3 linked regions of the Rattus norvegicus genome follow. The protein of the gene in region 1 interacts with the protein of each later gene in a biochemical or structural test. Links are inferred from orthologs where the notes say so. Each region holds a gene or a part of one and is shown in the gene's direction. Other genes may lie near its edges.

The links. The genes of interacting proteins can lie anywhere in the genome.
Region 2: the proteins of Pick1 (region 1) and Grm7 form a complex in vitro, tested with the Homo sapiens proteins (2 studies listed by BioGRID, with this or other methods). The link is inferred for Rattus norvegicus from reciprocal best matches to the Homo sapiens genes PICK1 and GRM7.
Region 3: the proteins of Pick1 (region 1) and Prkn form a complex in vitro, tested with the Homo sapiens proteins (3 studies listed by BioGRID and IntAct, with this or other methods). The link is inferred for Rattus norvegicus from reciprocal best matches to the Homo sapiens genes PICK1 and PRKN.

What each region holds. Positions count from the first base shown.
Region 1 is NC_086025.1:112,676,102-112,680,344, forward strand, and holds the start of Pick1 (PRKCA-binding protein), read left to right. Parts: upstream 1-1,443; 5' UTR 1,444-1,632; exon of another isoform or gene 1,633-1,809; 5' UTR 1,810-1,872; coding exon 1,873-1,913; exon of another isoform or gene 1,914-2,720; coding exon 2,721-2,832; exon of another isoform or gene 2,833-3,019; intron 3,020-3,547; exon of another isoform or gene 3,548-3,838; intron 3,839-4,243. UniProt on the Homo sapiens protein: Probable adapter protein that bind to and organize the subcellular localization of a variety of membrane proteins containing some PDZ recognition sequence.
Region 2 is NC_086022.1:145,285,416-145,289,525, forward strand, and holds the start of Grm7 (metabotropic glutamate receptor 7 precursor), read left to right. Parts: upstream 1-1,310; 5' UTR 1,311-1,707; coding exon 1,708-2,226; intron 2,227-4,110. UniProt on the Homo sapiens protein: G-protein coupled receptor activated by glutamate that regulates axon outgrowth through the MAPK-cAMP-PKA signaling pathway during neuronal development.
Region 3 is NC_086019.1:52,212,932-52,216,971, reverse strand, and holds the start of Prkn (E3 ubiquitin-protein ligase parkin), read left to right. Parts: upstream 1-1,240; 5' UTR 1,241-1,399; coding exon 1,400-1,487; intron 1,488-4,040. UniProt on the Homo sapiens protein: Functions within a multiprotein E3 ubiquitin ligase complex, catalyzing the covalent attachment of ubiquitin moieties onto substrate proteins. Substrates include SYT11 and VDAC1.

The sequences.
Region 1 (4,243 bases):
TCCTGGTGGGCTGGAGAGGTGGCTCAGCGGTTAAGAGCACCCAACTACTCTTCCAGAGGTCCTGAGTTCAATTCCCAGCAACCACATGGTGGCTCACAACCATCTGTAAAGAGATCCGATGCCCTCTTCTGGTGTATCTGAAGACAGCTACAGTGTACTTATATATAATAAATGAATAAAAAAAGTTTCCTGGTGATAATTAACTTGATAGTGTGCACATCAAAGCTCAAGACACGACTACATTGAAACTCTTTGTAAAGTACAAGTGGTATCTTCCATAAAGATTTGGTCTACAGATTTACTGGGAAAAGTAGGTCAAGATAAGGGTTGGGGAAGTATACAGTGTGGTCTTGACCATGCAGACAGAGCTATTACCCAGCTATTAACCACATCTGTTCCCAGCCTTCTAGGCAGAAAACGGGTTATATATCTTATCATTAAGTGACAATCCTGTGATTAGCATTCCTGGTTCCCCTAGTGATTATCTATGAGCACCAGGGGCCTCCGTGCCTCCTCCACACTCCGCCCCCAGCTGAGGAAGGACACCGGTCCCACTCTGCCTAGATGAGGTGGTTGCTAGCACCGTGGTCCCTGGAGGGTCATTCTCTTGCAGTGAACCCATTGGACATAATCATTGGCACCGGAAGTTGGTAAGAAGATAAGATTGGAGCTCCCGAGCTGGGAAGCACTGATGGTGTTTGTTGAGCCTCAGGAACATGGGGCCGTATCTTCAATAGAACTCCAGGGCCCTTGGGACTAAGGAAGGAGGTTTGGTGTGAGAGATTCTTTGCCAAAAAAACTTTTACTGGATGGTAATGTTTGTGGGGGAAAGACGTCAAATCTGAAAGAGGCAAAATTCACAGCTCCGAATTTAGCGCAGATGTTCAAAGATCCCAGACTGGCGGAAGGGGTCTCAGGGCCAAGATCTGGATCTTACACCAACTGTTATTATGTCTGAAAAAAGTTACTCCCTTTCTCAGATACTTAATTTCTTTCTTTGTGAGACTGGGATTTAGCGGGAACCTTACAGCACTAACTAAAGCTTTGTAGTGGAGGAGACACAGGTTTTTCTTAGGAAGCGGTATTGAAAATATGAAAACCAAGGTCTTGAGGTTTGCAATTCACTGAACTTTCACTAGCCCCAGGATGCTTCCGTTGCCCCGGCAACCGCCCGGCTAAGTGGTCCCCAGAGTGTCGCTAAGGAAGCTGGGAAGAGCTCTGTCCTCTCCAAGATGGCGGCAACGACAAGGGCGGGGTCCGGAGCCGCCAGCATGTCTAAACCTTTTCCTCCTTTTCCTTTTTTTCATACTAACGGCGAGCTTCCATCAACACTTGTTCTTTTTCCTGGTTCAGAGAGTCCCGGAGCAGAGACAGAAGGGGTGCCCGCAGGGATTGGGGCAAATACCCAAGGGGAGAGGCGGGACTTCCGCGTCCAACCGGAAGTGACGCGACAGTCGCGGTCGCCGCCAGGTGGAACGGCAGGTGGGTTCAGGTGCCAGCCTGGCCCGGGCCTGGCTGTGGGACGGACTCTCTCGGTGAGCGACTGAAGCGGCTCCCAAGGGTCTGGAGACCGTGGGGCGGGCTCCAGAATCCGAGCCCATCGCCCTGGCCTGGGGTCCTCCCCTGTACCAAGTAAGAATCACCTACCCCCACACCCCCACGCCGCGCCCTTCCAGCCTGAGGCTCCCTCTCCCAGTCTAGAGGGGAGGGGACCAGAGGCCGGCTGTCCGGGTGGGGGAGGGGTGGGAGCTTGGGGCTGGCATCTGGGCATTTCAGTTCCCTGAAGCCCTGTGCTCTTTTCTCCGTCAGACCCAGTTTCCTATTCCCCTCCCGAACTGGGCAGTTAGCCAGTCGGCCCCAGCTCTCGGAACCATGTTTGCAGACTTAGACTATGACATCGAGGAGGATAAATTGTGAGTATATTCTTTCCCAAGACCTGAGAACTGAGGACCCAGTTCCCTCGTGTCCTTGGGTGCCCTGGCTCCACACATTCTTTCTTTTTAGTGTACGGGAGTAGAAATGGTCCCAGACATCCCAGTAGTAGATCACTTGTAGGGGGTTGTGACAGGTTAACAGATAACACGACTTGGGCCATGTGAACCCTGAAGGCATTATCCAGGTAATGCTAGGGTGGTCTGGGAAGGTGTTCCAAAGCAGGTAACAGAGCCAGGTTGCAAAAGCTGCATGGAATGCCACCATCAGACCTTCCTCCCAGCACAGGTGATTAGTAATCAGAAATCATATTTGTCTGACCCTTAGAAAGAATGAGCCATCTCCTGGCCTTGTGTGTCGTTAGTCCTTAATAAGAGGTGGGTAGCCGTTGGTTGTTAGGAAATTGGTCTTCAGTAACCAAGCTGACATCTGAACCTGTTCACCACAAGACAGCCTAAGTTGTATTGTGAGTGCTGGGGTGTCTGAGCAGGAAGATGGCTGGAAGATAGTTGAGTAACCTTCTAAAGGAAGGGGGTTGTCATGTCCTGCAAGTACCTGAGAAAGGTTACAAAAAGTTTCCTTGGAGTTTAGTCTCACTGCAGATTTTTGGCAACCCTGGCTTTGACCCCACCACTGACTCTTGAGCAGTTCTGGTACAAATTGCTCTTTCTGGATGAGAAAGGAAGAGGCTACTTTATATAGGTTGTTGGAGCTTTTCTGGACATGGGACCCTGCTCCTTCCAGTCAGCGTTTGACCAGAATTCACTGTCACTTGCTTCTCTTCCCAGAGGAATCCCCACTGTGCCCGGGAAGGTCACCCTGCAGAAGGATGCTCAGAACCTGATTGGCATCAGCATCGGAGGAGGGGCCCAGTACTGTCCTTGTCTCTACATTGTCCAGGTATGAAACATACGTTGGAGGTCAGGGTAAGGTCCTGGGTGGAGTGTCGCACCTCCCTTCGTGAGCATGTCAGAAAGAGGTTCATTTCTCCACTCCGAAAAAACACTAGCTCCAGAGGCTGGGAGAGGGCTGAGTCAGTAAAGTGCTTGCCATGTAAACTTGAGTAGCGGGGTTCACGTCCAGGCACCTGCGTAAAACACTGATGAGCTGGGTGTTCTTTCTTGTAACCATAGTACTGGGGAGGTGGCCACAGGTGGCCCTAGGCCACCTAACTTAATAGGTGAGTTTGAGGTGACAGATTTCCTGCGCACACCCCTGCCGCCCAACAAAAAGGTGGTTAGTACCTGAGGAATGAAAGCAAAGAGTGGCTGTCCTGCACACACATATGCATACATACATGCATACATAGTATGCATGTGCATACATACATAGTATATACGTACATTTGCATACATAAATGCACACAGACACATACCTGCATTTGCCAACAGATAAAGGTCGATCTTGTTTCTTTAAAATTTTACGATTGCATTTGCATGCGTGTGCTTGATGTGTGTATATGAGTGTGTATATGTGAGTGTGGGCTCACTCTTATCAGTCACACACTGGTCAGAGGACAGCCCTCAAAAGTCAGTTTCCTCCTGTGAGACCCCCCATTTGAAATCAGGCCATCGGGCTTGCACGGTCGACACTTTACCCCGCCAAGCCATCTTACCTGCCCTGCCTGAGGTCTGGTCTTAGCAACACTGCCCGGTGCTCTTGAGTGGGGATGGTCCCCACTTCCTTTTCTACCTGTTCTTCCCTCCCAGCTTGTTCTGATCTTGCTACCTGGCAGACGCTTGTCGGCCTCACACTGAAGTTAGTGCTGGTTACTGCCTGGTGTGTAACATACTCAGTAAAAATGTCTCAAATGAGTTTTGTTTGCTGAAGGGGGAAGGCTGTGAGATAACAATGTCTCTGTTGGGTGTGGTAGCATCACACCTGCAGTCTCTACACTTGGGAGGTGGCAGCGGGGAAGGTCAGCAATTCAGAGACCTGCTGGGCTACACAGTGAGTTTGATACCAATGTGGGCTGCTAGAGACCCTGTCTCAGCAAACAGACAAGCAGAGTAGTAGCCCAAGGTTTGTATGTGAATGGCCCTGAGTACCAGTGAGTTTCTTAATCACTCTGGGCCTCAGTTTGCTTATGTGGTAAGTGAGGATTTAAAAATAGGTAACCCAGGTTTGATTCCCAGCATCCACATCAGACAGTTCACAACCACCTGTAAGTCAAGTTCCATGGGATCTGATGCCCTCTTTGGCCTCCTGCCCCTGCATGCATACAGTGCACAAATGTTTACTCATATACATTACATACATAGACATGAAATTATAAAATTAAATATTGAAAACCTCTATGGAGCTACAGGAG
Region 2 (4,110 bases), on another chromosome or scaffold:
ACATGGCCTATTTTAACAAAGGATTATAGTTAAAAGACAACTTGGAAGACATGCAACTCAGTCTCATCGTTTTCCAGATGGAAAACTAAAACTCAGGCAGGGCACCAAAATGCCAAGGACACACAGGTAGTTGGTGGTGGAGGTAATATGACAGAACTATATATTATATCCAGTAATAGTTTTCCCATCAACACCAGGAAGCATATTCTTGTTTTTGACTTTCTCTCCACCACTCTCACATCAGTACAATATAGCTTTTTATACATTGGAACAGAAAAACATCACAAAAAGTTGAGTGAAGGTCCCAGAGAAAATTTAAACTTCCCTGTATCAAGGCTAAGGATACTTGTTGCATTAATGAGCTAAGTTTCAGCGGGGACACTTTCCCTTCTGCAGTGGAACTTCCTGAGCATTCTGCCTTTGTTCACCAAATCCCATGGCAGTAAAAGAAAAAAAAATACAATCCTCATCTTTGAAGAAACCTCTCCAGCTACTTTTTCTTCCTAATGCCCTCACCCCGTTCCTGCTGTTTCTTGACTGCAAAGAAAAACTGTCACCAACTCAGGAGTATCTCTGAAAATAGGTAGGAGGGAGCCATACACCTGTCAAAGCTATGGAGGAAAGTGCTGGAGTTCTTAGTTTCTTCTCTTGCTGCAAAAGAAAGAAAAGGCACTGACTAAATCTGAGGTTTCTTCTGAAGACCTGCTGAAGAATGTGGTTAGTTTGACTAGACTTGGTCCTTAGGAAGATGGACAGTGGGGTGCCACCTTATATTTCCTCTTGGCTTCAGCTTCCCTCCAAGACAGAGGGTGCCTAATACAAGAGAAACCGCTGGTTAAGGACTTTAGTCAAGAGTCGGGGGTTCCAGAATGTCCTGTATTTTTCTGAGCATAGCTAGCACAAGAGGGCTAGCTTTAGAAACTGAAATCCCCTCTCCTCCCGCCCCCTTTCACGGCTGCTCCACTTCTGGACTCCCTATCTTTCTGCTAGCACCCACAGTCAAGGATCAGACTCAGGGGTTCCCGATCAGTCAGCACTAACATCCCGGCTCATCCCAAGTGGATGTCTGCAGTTGCTAGAACATGGGCGTGGGTGTTGGTGGACCTGAGGTTTCAGTCCCAGAGTTGGGGAAGAGAGCTTAGCCCTGAAATCCATAGATTCCCTGGGGACTACGAAACTCCCCTGAAGAGGCAACCTCCGGGCTCCCGGGCCACCCACCCATTCCTCCACCCGCCCCCCTTACCTCAGCACGCAGCCCCTCCCTGCGTGATGATGCAAACCGGTGGGGAGGGCGGGCTGCTGGGAAGGGTGGGGAGAGATGGATAGCAAGCAAGGGAGGGAGAGAGGGAGTGGGAGGAGGAGGAGGAGGAGAGGGAGCCCAACGACCATTTAAAGCGATAGCAATCCCTGCCCTCTCCCCAGTGCTTGGCTGTTGGAGAGCGCAAGAGGCAAGCCAGGGAACGGGGAGCGCAAGCTGGTGCGCCGGCCAGCGGAGCCACAGTGCCAGGTGCCAAAGACTGGCTGACGCCCTGGGACACCCCCACCCTCTCCTGCTGCACCTCCTCGGTCTCCTCCACCCTCTGTGCCTACAGAAGTCCCTGGGCTTCCCCCAAAGGAGCTCACCTCCAGAAGCCCGGACCTGGGAGAGCCCACCAGCATACCCTCCAGCGCCGCCGCCGCCGCTACCGCAGCAGCATCCGGAGCGGCATGGTCCAGCTGGGGAAGCTGCTCCGCGTCCTGACTTTGATGAAGTTCCCCTGCTGCGTGCTGGAGGTGCTCCTGTGCGTGCTGGCGGCGGCGGCGCGCGGCCAGGAGATGTACGCCCCGCACTCGATCCGGATCGAGGGGGACGTCACCCTTGGGGGGTTGTTCCCAGTGCACGCCAAGGGTCCCAGCGGAGTGCCCTGCGGCGACATCAAGAGGGAGAATGGGATCCACAGGCTGGAAGCTATGCTTTATGCCCTGGACCAGATCAACAGCGATCCCAACCTGCTGCCCAATGTAACGTTAGGCGCGCGGATCCTGGACACTTGTTCCAGGGACACTTATGCGCTCGAACAGTCGCTCACTTTCGTCCAGGCGCTTATCCAGAAGGACACCTCCGACGTGCGTTGCACCAACGGAGAGCCCCCGGTTTTCGTCAAGCCAGAGAAAGTAGTTGGAGTGATTGGGGCTTCGGGGAGCTCCGTCTCCATCATGGTAGCCAACATCTTGAGGCTTTTTCAGGTAGGGGGGCGCTCCCTTTGGGGAGGAGCATTCTGTGGCTCCCTGCGCTCTAACCTTAAAAGCTGTTTTGGACTTCTTGGGTTGCAGGGGTCAGGCCAGCACTCCGACATTTCTACCCTGGATATCCTGCTGAATCCCTCCCACCCCACCCAAGGAGGTATCTTCCTTGCTTAGTTTACTCCTCTTTTATGTTTTCCCCTGTCCACGCTCCACTCCATACGGCATGACTCCCCGGATTTGTGGTCCCATTTACAAGAAGCAATCTTCGGAAAAACAAGGCGATGATTTAAATGGTTTGCATTAGAGTGAAATATGGTTCGGAAACAGGCTTGAAAAAGTGCCTGGGCTCCTAGGGGAGCAGGTTAGGCACCAGGAATATGAAAAATTAGAAGATGCTTTGAAAATGGCATTGCTCAACTCCCCAGCTTCCCATGCCTAAGCCATTTAGGAAACCTCGACTTCATGGAAATATTCTCGAAGACCTCAAGAAGCCCCTTCTTCGAATGAGGGTTGGGGTTTACCCGTTTACCCGCATGTGGATGATAATTGCCCGTGTCTTTGGGGTTGAATTTCCGACCTGTAGCGGGTCTCCATCAGAGGCATGGGGTACCCGCCCCACTGGGGAGACCCCGCCTGCTGACGTGATCCCCCTGAGTTGGTTTCCTCCTGGCAATTTTGTGCACCGCCTAAATTGCATTTGCAGTCCGGCCAGTGGCAGGAGCTGGGCGATCAGCTAGCTTTCCGCTGCCACTTCAGACCTCAGCTGGGGATGAGCTCATGCTAACTGCGAAATAAAATCGCTTTCACAGACTGCTCCCTGCGCACTAGTCCCCCTCCCTCACTCATGCAGCCCCACACCCAGAATCCCAGCCTCCGAGCTGGGAAACTGAACCTGCTTTGCCCAGGAACAGTGGGTGTGCTAAAGAGGGTTATGCAGGTCTCATGCCCTGGGTTCAAAAACAGGAGGAAGGCGGACCTAGGGCTGATGAGCAGTAGGTCCAACCGCAGTGCTCTGCCTTTGGTCCCTGCAGCCTCTGTTTCCATGCTTCCTTGCTGCACTGGGTCGAAATGGATAGTTTTGAGGATTAGAAATTGAGTTCAGTGGACTCTGTGATAAGGTGTCCTTATGCTTCTTTTTCTTTCGTTTCCTCATTCAGTTTCCCCTCCTCACAAGCCTTTCTCAACCTCTGTTTCCTTTCCTTATACTCAAGTTCTTGCCTTGAGTCAGTTTGGGTGTGACTTTCCTATCCTAGGGCTTGCTCCCTGTTTGATGGTAGCCAGATCCTGCCAACCCCTTCCCTTAATTGTGCAAGATGGTCCCTGCAGGGTTGGCTGCCGAAGTCTAAGAAGTGACGCTTGTTCACATGCTATCCCTAAGGTTAGGAGTTTTATGAGGGAACTGCTGATGATGGCCAGGTCAGCAGAGGACCTGCATGATCTCTAGGAGAGGGAACTTTGTGCTCAAGTAGCAGAAGTGCTCACCTGAAGCTAGAGAGTCCCTTCTGATAAATGGAGCATACCAGTGACTCCTGGATGTGCCTGTCTGGAGACTTCTGGCTGCTTGCAGTCTCCTAAAGTGATTTGAGGGCAGACTTCACTCTACCTTGCTTGAATCTTGAACAGCCTCGACTTTTGCTATCAAAATTAAAGAGATTTTTGTTCCTCTCTGAGCTCGAAGTTTGGCAGCTTGGGGTGGGGGAACTGTAGCAGAAGAAAGAATCAAGATATGAGTTGATACAAAAGCTGAGGGGTGTGTGTGTGTGTGTGTGTGTGTGTGTGTGTGTGTGTGTGTGTGTGTGTGTGTTGGGGATTTTCTCACAAGGCTTGAGGGGTAGACTGCTCATTCTGTGTTGATCATTTTAATATTATTTCTCTGCCTGGGTT
Region 3 (4,040 bases), on another chromosome or scaffold:
GTATGCTAGCCTAGCATTTAGAAGTCTTGATTAAATCTGATATATTTAGAAAATATTGGGAAAAATGAAATACTATACATTTAACACACATTTGTTAAATAATACTAATATTTACGTATTTTTATATTTTATATTTATATGTAAGTATATTATATTTATATAATAAACTTGTAACTAAGTTTATCTTACTTTAGGTATTATATCAAAGCCTTGGAACTATATATTTGACTGTAGCAGTTTGTAGAAAATGCTTTCCTTTTGACATGATTAGTAGAACTAATTGCTTTTAAATTGTCCTACCAATCAGAGATAATTTGCCATAAAAAGTATCTGAATACCTTCTTTGTTATGTTTGCGATGTTATTCCTCAGTGGCTAAGAGTTCCGATGAGTGAGTGAGTGATTTGCTGTATGGGGAGAGGACAGATGTGTGGACGGAGGGTGAGTAGGTGCAGGGTAGGAGATGGGAGGTGGAGCGTGGAAGGTAGAAGATGTATAGATGAACAGATGATGGGTGGAAGGATGTACAGTAGACGATCGAGAGCGAGGATAGGGGAAGAGAAAGGATGGGTACACGAAAGAGGGTGGAAGGTGGAGCAAAGGCAGGCTAGGTAAGGAAAGGAACTTTGCCAAGAGTTTTGCTTCCTGGATAAAATATCACAATTATTTATTATTATTATTATTATTATTATTATTATTATTATTATTATTATTAACAGTAGCCTTAGTTCTGGTCTGTCTGAGACTGTCTGAAGATGATAGTGGTAATTCACTGATCCCCTGTTTTTCTGTTTGAATTCAGAATAACCCAACCCAAATAACACAAAATAGTCTGAGAGAAAATGACTCTCTCTAATGCCAATCTTAACCTTACTGTAAAGGTAAAGAACTCTGCTGTAGGCTATTGAGACTTCTCCATAACTAACAGTATAAATTGTTCTCTTGGTCAACCTGCAGTGGTGCACACAGACACCAGACAAGAGGGAGAGGTCTCTGAACATACCAACCATGAACATGGTTTTAGGCATACTGGATTTATTGGGAGGGTACATGAGCCTTTGGAGGTGGAAGAGCTACTCTCTCTCCTTCGTCCTCTGTGGCCAGGGCTAACAGTTCAGTGTAAAAGTTAAGCTTGCAAAAGCAAGAGATTGGGAGCCCTGGGATGCCTGTTTCTGCCCTCCTTGTAAATAGTAAGCAAGCCCCTCTTCCTCTTTACTCATCTTGTAGGTGGGAATAGTAAATGCTGTCCCAATTATCTCGCCATGCTCCTGTGAAGATTAACTGAGATAATGTCCGTACAAGCACTTCGAAAATAGAAAGCTGTATCTGAGCCAAAGATAGCGCTATCAGGACACCACCATCACTTGAGATCAATTGCTAGGCACTCCACAGCATAGTGCATGGAACTCCGGGAGAAGAAATGGCTACAGTTATCCAAACATCAGTACTGCATATTCGACGTGGAAACACAATTACTTCTAAGACATGGTGGGATTCTAGTAAAAGTAAATAATGATTAAAATTTACAGAATTGTACTTTCCTTGTATTAATTTCTTTAATTATCATGACCACTGTATGAAGTAATTACTATTATTATTTCCTACTTGACTTAAGATTGATGGAAGGAGAGTAACTGTGAACCACAGTTACAGAGGTCACAAGGAGGGCAGAGGTAAATGTCAAGTCCAGGAAGCAGTTCCTGAGGCCAGGATTACAGCCATGGCATCGGCCTCTTGTTAGATACATTCTTAATTGCATTCCCTACCTCCCATTCTTCATCTCTCATAGTGCTAGTCAGAGATTAAGGAAGGAAATGGAGGAATTCATCCCAGAAATGAGGAAAATTAGAAAGCCAAGGGAGAAAGGGAGGCCAGTGCATAGTCAGGTGGACATAAAGAAGTGTTAGAGCCATGGTGAAATTCTAGGGGCTGCTCTTTCCTGGGACACTAACTCTCTCACCTACCAGAGGGGTTCAGAGTCCTAATCTGTGGTCTGTCTCCAGCCTGGGAAGCTGAGAGCATGAGGAGACATGAATATAGCCACATGAGGTTCAAAGCACTTCTAACTGGACCAGGGAGGAATGGGAAGGCAGGACATGTGACTTACAAGCTCTCTTGAATTTCCAAGTGGTGACAACACATAAAGGTTCATTGGATATCAGCTAATCAAACCCTAGTATATCTCCTACTCTCCACTCATTTTCGCCTCCTGTATATCTGCTCTCAGCAAATGCTATCCTGTCCACAGGCACTGTCCTCTGCACAGACGCTGCCCTCTCCACAGATGTTGCCCTCTTTGCAGACACTGTCCTCTCCACATTCTCTGTTCTCTTGTCAGACACTGTCCTCTCCACAGACACTGCCCTCTCCACACACACTGTCCTCTCCACAGACTCTGCCCTCCTCACAGACACTGTCCTCTCCACATTCTCTGTTCTCTTGTCAGACACTGTCCTCTCCACAGACACTGCCCTCTCCACACACACTGTCCTCTCCACAGACTCTGCCCTCCTCACAGACACTGTCCTCTCCACATTCTCTGTTCTCTTGTCAGACACTGTCCTCTCAACAGACACTGTCCTCTCCACACACACTATCCTCTCCACACACGCTGTCCTCTCCACAGACATTGTCCTCTCCACAGACTCTGCCTTCCCCACAGATTCTGTCCTCCCCACATACTCTGTCCTCTTTACAGATACTGACCTCTCCTCAGATGCTGTCCTCTCCACAGTCTCTGTCCTCTCCATAGTCTCTGTCAGAGAGGACCTCAGATCCCTTGGAGGTGGAGTTGGGGACTTTTTGAGATGTCCCATGTGTACTAGGATTTGAACTCTGATCTTCTGTAAAAGTAGCCATTTACCCCCGAGCCATCTCCTTAGGTCTTGTCTCCAGTGTTATTTTTAATAACTTAATCATTATTACGGATGTACTGTTTGTTCATTTTTACTGAGGTCCTATCTTTATTTGTATTTCCTCACCTTTTTCTGTCTTTGTATTTTCCCATCTCTCATCTGGAATAACACACTGTGTTTAATTATTGCATCCCCTTGGGTTCTTCTAGACTCAGATCATATTTCAGACATGTGTTGCTTTAGTGACCTTGAGGTTTTGAGTTGTGACCAGGCATTTTTGCAATGCTTATCAGCCGTTTTTTATCTGATGTTCTTCTTGGAGATTAGACTGGGGTTGTAGGATTTCAGGTGGGAGCCCACAGAAGAATGGGCCATTCTCAGTGTCCCCTTTCCTGCTGGCCTCCTCACCAAGGAGTGTTTGTCAGGCACCCCCACTGTGGAGGACCTCTGGTTCTCCATGCACATAGGAAGTTACTGTGCATATATGCTCTGCACCTTTGGACAGTTATCCTCTGACTGAGCTTCTGTCAGGTTCCCTTCTACCTTCACGCTAGAGGGGTTCACCACAAGGTGAGTGGCAGAATTTGTGCACTCCTTTTCTGGCTCTTTTCCTTCCAGGATTGCCTTTCTCCTCAGAAGCAAATCCCTCAGGTCTCAGCCTCTTGCTTCACTTAAGACAGCACTGAGGCTTTGCTTACAGGAAGGCTCCCAAGGATAACCACTCTGATACAGTCTATAGTCAATTGAAAGTCTGTATTCCAGTCAACTGGAACTACTCTCAGGCATTTGGGACCCAATTGTAACCCGAGTATGTGTGTCCAGAACACTGGATTTTTGAAGCTTCAGTTGGGTTTCACCAGAGGAGGCAGTTTAACAGATGCTAAGATAAACTCCCTAGGGCACCTTGACCTTGGGGTCCTAGAACATGTTTTGGTAATTTTCCATGGATTGTCCATCAAGGAGATCAAATTCCAATTAAACCTGAAATGCCCTCATCAAGACCAGAAGATACAGGAACCTCTGCACTGTCTTGCCCCGTCACAAATAAAGTAACGAATTTGCAATTCACTAATCTAAGATTATAAAATACTATATGTAAATATTCATGGATACTGCACATGTATATAAATACATATGTGTATTTACTTTATAATTATTCCTTAGGCCAGGATATCACAAATTCTGA